Linked DNA regions of Bombyx mori. The protein of the gene in region 1 purifies or fractionates together with the protein of each later gene. This does not show direct contact. Links are inferred from orthologs where the notes say so. Each region holds a gene or a part of one and is shown in the gene's direction. Other genes may lie near its edges.

What was found. Proteins that work in one complex are often made in the same cells at the same time.
Region 2: the proteins of histone-lysine N-methyltransferase 2C (region 1) and PAX-interacting protein 1 purify together in Homo sapiens (affinity purification with mass spectrometry; 4 studies listed by BioGRID and IntAct, with this or other methods). This does not show direct contact. The link is inferred for Bombyx mori from reciprocal best matches to the Homo sapiens genes KMT2C and PAXIP1.

The regions. Positions count from the first base shown.
Region 1 is NC_085115.1:12,732,074-12,735,573, forward strand, and holds part of histone-lysine N-methyltransferase 2C, read left to right. Parts: intron 1-642; coding exon 643-948; intron 949-1,131; coding exon 1,132-1,290; intron 1,291-1,397; coding exon 1,398-2,393; intron 2,394-2,472; coding exon 2,473-2,532; intron 2,533-2,877; coding exon 2,878-2,968; intron 2,969-3,049; coding exon 3,050-3,153; intron 3,154-3,238; coding exon 3,239-3,500. UniProt on the Homo sapiens protein: Histone methyltransferase that catalyzes methyl group transfer from S-adenosyl-L-methionine to the epsilon-amino group of 'Lys-4' of histone H3 (H3K4).
Region 2 is NC_085122.1:9,066,735-9,070,234, forward strand, and holds part of PAX-interacting protein 1, read left to right. Parts: intron 1-1,402; coding exon 1,403-1,495; intron 1,496-2,643; coding exon 2,644-2,722; intron 2,723-3,500.

The DNA.
Region 1 (3,500 bases):
CATGGATATAAATCATATAAATATACTTTACACTTACAAAGTCAGCTTTTATTTCTTAATCTTGAAATTAATGTAAATGAGCTGCCATTTGTAGATACAAATTAGACGGTAATTTCTTTCAAAAAATATTTTCATTTAATCTAAGCTATAAATCTAGGTTGCTTGTCTCATCTGTCTAGTTATTAATGGTGGAGCTATTCAACTTCTAGCGCGTCAGGGATGGTGACCGTTTAATTTTAACAGTTAGATCGTTTCATTATCTTAATTTCTGTATTGTAGTTAAAAAAAACTGAACTTCTTAAATAGTAATTATTGACACAAATGAAGCATTGAATTTAATTAGCCTATTTAATGATTATTTTTTGCTGTAGTTTGTGATTAGACTGCACTTAGTTTTTTAAATAAAACACACTATGAAGACAATCACATACAGTGTTAAATTGATGACAGCCCTAAAATATTACCGAAAACTTTTATTAGTTTCTGTAATATATAAAGAGAATTGAATTATACATTTCTCATATATCAAGATGAGACAGGTAACTTAATGATTGAAAACTACTGAAATAGTAAAAAAATTGAAAGAAATTGAAATATCACCAATGGGTGATAGCAACGTTTAACAATTAGAACATAAATCAGGAGCAACCGTTGCTTCTCGAGGAGCTTCTGGAGCAGGAGAAGCGCGAACAGGAGCGGGAGGGCGAGTGGGGCGGCGGCGCAGTGGCGGCGCCGGCGGTGGTGGCCCCGCCCGCGCCCCCCGCCGTGCCGCTGTTCGCCGGCGTGCCCCCCGTGCAGCCGCCCGCGCCCTCCGACCGCTCGCACTCCGAGGCCGACCTACACGCGCGCCGCCTCTACGAGCAGTGGCTCAAGCAATTCAATGTCTTCGCAGTTGAGCAACAGCGATACTACGAGCTCGAGGTTCAGAAACTTCGCAAGATTCGCAAGGTGAGCTCCGTAGTGCGCTTTCGTGTTCGTAAGCTTTGTAGTGCGTAGCAGAACCCCCTTTGTTTTGCTTTTCGTTTTGGCAATATTTCCCTCTTCTTTATTATTTCGAGAATCCCCTTGGGATCCTGCACTCTTTATTTATTAGTTGACTTTTGTTCTACACCGGTGTTTTTTATTTTTCAGTCATTAAATAGCAAGCAACGGCAGCTACGTAAGTCGGGGAATGAGTTGCTACCAAACGACGCAGCCGAGCTACAGCGCGTGTCAGCAGAACAGCAGGCTCTTCAGAAACACTTGGACGCCGCCAGGAAGCAAGCCAGGCAGCACAGTATGTTGATCCAGGTGAGTTAATGTTATGATAACTACTTCATGTTTAATTTTCTTATCGTATATGAATTCTTAACGAACTACAGTTGTATCATCGCGATTAACCACTTTTAAAATTCCAGGAATATGAAAATAAACAACGTCAACAAAATCCTCAGCTGGCTCAGCAGACTATAATAAATCAACAGCAGATAGCGACAAATCAAGGCACGCTCAACCAGGCTCAGACTATGAACCAACAGCAGCAACATCAGCAACAAACTATCAATCGACCTATGCAGTTGGGCATCCAACAGCAACAGACGTTGATTCGGAGTCAGCAGACGGTTCTCAGTGGTGAGCAAAGGATTGGACTGGTGACGTCACCGCTGAGCGCTCAGAGCCGGCTCGTACAAGGACGCACGCTCGTCATCGAACAGAGCGCCGTCCCGCAGCCGCAGCTGGTGCGGCAACTGTCGGGGCAGGAGCGCGGCGCCGGCATGCTACAGTTCGCAGCGCAGCGCGCGCCCGCCCCCCGCGCGCCCGGCCCGCGCCCCGCCATGTCGCCGCTGCACGTGCAGTCGCAGTCGCCGCTGCACTCCCTCGCGCCGCAGTCACCGCTCCATCATCTCACCTCGCCGATGCAGTCACCGCTCCACTCGCAGCAGTCGCCGTTGCATCACACCTCACAGTCCCCGCTGCATCCTTCCACTCAATCTCCGCATCACACGCAACAGTCGCCACTTCATTCTCAACAATCACCGATGCACGTCCAACAGACCAATCTGCCTCAACAATCTCCGCTGCATCCGCAACAGTCACCGATGCATCCACAACAATCTCCGATGCACCCCCAACAGTCACCGATACATCCTCAGCAGTCTCCGATGCATCCGCAGCAATCGCCAATGCATCAGCAGTCGCCGATGCACGCACAGCAACAAATGACCACACAACATTCTCCGATGCACCAACAGAGTCCGATGCACTCTCAGCAATCGCCAATGCACGTCCAACAATCTCCAATGCATACTCAACAATCACCGATGCAAACATCGATGTCGCCGCAACATTTTCTTCAACAACTACAAGCTCAAAGAACAAGTCCTCAGCTACCTACGCCCAGTCGGAGTCCACAGGTAAAAAAATCTTCATTTTATTTTATACTTAAAATAAACACGAAAATTCTAGTTTTTAATAATTAAAAACATATTCCAGATTTATCAGCAATCACAAATACAAAGTCCTGTATCATCACATTCGCCACAGCTACAAAACGTATGTATTGAGACAAAATAATTTAAATGACTCTGATTTTTAGCTCCATGATGTAGGACTCCATAGGACAAGGATAGATTGCCTACATCGATACAGAATAGGTCGACATCACTTTCATTCGAGTAATAGCTATCCCTTCAGACCAGAACGTATGGACTGCTTCCTGGTCGAAAAATATGGTATAGGTCAATGCGACTAATAGGAAGTAGTGGGAAGGGTAGAAGAAGTTATGTAGATAAGTAAAATAAAGATATTTAACTGCAGATGGGTTTTGGGTTTTCAAGGAGGCTGTATACAGCATATTTTTTGTGTAGCTTTTGTGTGATATGATCTGACCTATTTCAGGCGGACTTTAGTGGTGCTCGATTTTCAAGACCGGCTTCTGGATGTTCACCAATGCCCACTCGGTTTGCTCGGCCACCTCATCATCAACAAGGTAAAAAAGAAAAACTTAATTATAAAAAAGTTAGTTATAACACACTAACAACTTTTATGCATTTTTCGTTTGTTAATGCAGGAATGAGAGTCGGTGTTGTGCCTTATGGTAGTCGGCAGCAAACTTCTCCTTTGGGGAGTCCACAACCACTGCCGTCTCCGGGCAATCCTAGTAACGAGCTAGCTGTGAGTTTATTTACACACATTAAGTAATTATAGATTTCTGAAAACAAATTTTTCAGTAACTAATCAATAAATTATCTTTGTGTAGAGACAACAAATGTTACAACGTCAGCAATACAGCCCAATGGGAGGGGCGCCGTCATCACCTTCGATATCGAGATCTCCGCACGTAGCGCGCACGCCCACGCCCTCGGCATCTCCTGCCGCTTCTCCAGCGCCCGACCACGGCGGCGGCTCCATGCACTCTCACCACGCCGCGCCCCTCCCGCCCTGCTACCGCTACTGCCGCCCCGGGCTGCGAGGGGGAGCCCCACCCTGGCCCCCCGCGCGACCCAAGCTCACCCTACTGA
Region 2 (3,500 bases), on another chromosome or scaffold:
GCGAAGGCCTTCGACAGGGTCTGGCATAGGGCACTTCTATCGAAGTTACCATCTTACGGAATCCCCGAGGGTCTCTGCAAGTGGATCGCTAGCTTTTTGGATGGGCGGAGCGTCACGGTCGTTGTAGACGGTGACTGCTCTGATACCATGACCATTAACGCTGGCGTTCCACAAGGTTCGGTGCTCTCCCCCACGCTTTTCATCCTGTATATCAATGACATGCTGTCTATTGATGGCATACATTGCTATGCGGATGACGGCACGGGGGATGCGCGATATATCGGCCATCAGAGTCTCTCTCGGAGCATGGTGCAAGAGAGACGATCAAAACTTGTGTCTGAAGTGGAGAACTCTCTGGGGCGAGTCTCCGAATGGGGTGAATTGAACTTGGTTCAATTCAACCCGATAAAGACACAAGTTTGCGCGTTCACTGCGAAGAAGGACCCCTTTGTCATGGCGCCGCAATTCCAAGGAGTATCCCTGCAACCTTCCGAGAGTATCGGGATACTTGGGGTCGACATTTCGAGCGATGTCCAGTTTCGGAGTCATTTGGAAGGCAAAGCCAAGTTGGCGTCCAAAATGCTGGGAGTCCTCAACAGAGCGAAGCGGTACTTCACGCCTGGACAAAGACTTTTGCTTTATAAAGCACAAGTCCGGCCTCGCATGGAGTACTGCTCCCATCTCTGGGCCGGGGCTCCCAAATACCAGCTTCTTCCATTTGACTCCATACAGAGGAGGGCCGTTCGGATTGTCGATAATCCCATCCTCTCGGATCGTTTGGAGCCTCTGGGTCTGCGGAGGGACTTCGGTTCCCTCTGTATTTTGTACCGTATGTTCCATGGGGAGTGCTCTGAGGAATTGTTCGAGATGATACCAGCATCTCGTTTTTACCATCGCACCGCCCGCCACCGGAGTAGAGTTCATCCATACTACCTGGAGCCACTGCGGTCATCCACAGTGCGTTTCCAGAGATCTTTTTTGCCACGTACCATCCGGCTATGGAATGAGCTCCCCTCCACGGTGTTTCCCGAGCGCTATGACATGTCCTTCTTCAAGCGAGGCTTGTGGAGAGTATTAAGCGGTAGGCAGCGGCTTGGCTCTGCCCCTGGCATTGCTGAAGTCCATGGGCGACGGTAACCACTCACCATCAGGTGGGCCGTATGCCCGTCTGCCTACAAAGGCAATAAAAAAAAAAAAAAAAAAAAAAAAAAAAAATGGTTAAGTAGTTATAACGGAACATCCGTAAAAACCACTGTAGATTTATATATTACTTTAGATTCCGATCCAACTTACCATTCTCTCTCCCTTCCGTTCTTCCCTTCACATAACGCTTTGACTTCCGGAACTTGTGTATATATATTTAATCAGCACATTACTGAGATTTAAGCTGTTTTTATACCAGGCGGGGACGGGCGGACAGTCTCCGCCGGGGGCTCCGCAGAGCGTCACCTTCATACGGAGCCAACTGGCGCCCGGACTCGCACCACAACAACAGGTAACATCAGTATTGCTTTTATGGTAAATCGCACAACCTGGTTAAGGAATTTATTTTCTGTGCATCATCTAACAAATCCTCAACACTATTATTCAATCAAATCAATTATTTTTGCACAATACACCACTACTGGCCATCTTGACTTTCTGTCACTATTTCCGCAGTCTTCATCTAAATCAGTATGGTATCATCAACGTCATCCTTCATATCTTTTTTTCAATACCCACCTTCAGTATTTTACCAACTGGCCTAGTGCCTACTACTTGGGTAAAGCCCATAAACTATCGCAATTGCAAAATATTGATGAAGCCTTTTGTCTGCTTTTTTTGCTACCTAAGCTGATGGTCTAGGGGGCTCAAACCTGACTATGTTCCTAACGCGAACCCTAGCAAGAGCTGTGCTTCGCAAAATCTACCACCGAATCGGAAACGCGACCCATTGAGTATCGGATCTCCAGCGAGAAACTTAGTGGGCTGGGTTCGACGAGAGCGAGTGCTTGGGGTACCTAAAATCACCGTTAGTGGATCGGGAGGATCCGAAATGACGTGTTTGGGGCGACGTCGACTGCTTTCCATTCGGTCCGCAGGATCGGGGATGTAGTTATCGGCGGCCACGATGAGTGGGCTCTCGTGTCGTGCCGCTTTATCGAAATGGCATTTTGCCTGCAATATTGGTACCAAAGTACTGGTTTTCGTTATCCGTGATTCGCATTCCATTGAGACTGCGACCTTATGTCCAAAGAAAGGCGGTGACGTTCAATTAGTGGACTCGATTTGTTCTTCTAAACTCTTAGCACGTTAAAATCATATCGAGCGATGAAATGCTATGTAGTTTAAGCAACATTTCACGTAATACGTAACATTTTATTTGATTATTACCATCAACAATTCGGTGTTTTTAATTGAACTTCAATTATATTGCCACATTCGAATAACTGAAAGAAGTTTTTTGGTCATGAGATTTTTTCTAAATTTTAAACTTTGAATGGATCTCCTTGTAAAGTTTAAAAAAATGACGCTTAATCCAAATAGCTTTTCACACCTCGATATTTAATAGTTTATCTGTCATTATCGAGTCGTTGAAATAATGAAGCAAAATTTTACGAAATCTGTATTCGAAAACTAGTCCTAATTATACTGTTGGTCAAGGTACAATGGCTGCAGCAGCAAGGAGCGAGGACCACGACTATACCAGCGGCCACGCCTGCCCCTCCACCGCAGTCTCCAGGTCAGATAAATAGGACAGTTTTTTTTTTAAAGATATTGTGTCCTGGTCACGAGGCCTTTAAGCCAAATCGTATTTCGAATTATACTCTGTTTTAAGGAATGTCATTGTAATACAAATTAAATGCCTTACGACTGTCTGCTGGTTCAAGAAATATGAAGTTTCTTGGTCGTATTTTTTGTGCTATTCGTACTCCATTGACTCGTGAACGTGTCTGTAGAAATGTCGATGAGCGAACGAGCTAACTTGATATTAAGTGGTACCTTGATTTGAAGTCGTCGTGGCCTAAAGAATAAGACGCCTGGAGCATTCGTATGTAGCGATTCACCGGTGTTCGAATCCCAGGCGGGTACCAATTTTTCTAATGAAATACGTACTCAACAAATGTTTACGATTGACTTCCACGGTGGAGAAATAACATCGTGTAATAAAAATCAAACCCGCAAAATTATAATTTGCGTAATTACTGGTGGTAGGACCCCTTGTGAGTCCGCGCGGGTGGGTACCACCACCCCGCCTATTTCTGCCGTGAAGCAGTAATGCGTTTCGGTTTGAAGGGCGGGGCAGCCGTTGTAACTATACTTGAGAACTTAGAACTGATATCTCAAGGTGGGTGGCTGCACTTACGTTGTCTATGGGCTCCGGTAACCACTTTCGTTTGGAGCCCCTGGGTCTGCGGAGGGACTTCGGTTCCCTCCGTATTTTGTACCGCATGTTCCATGGGGAGTGCTCTGAGAAATTGTTCGAGATGATACCATCGTGTCGTTTTTACCATCGCACC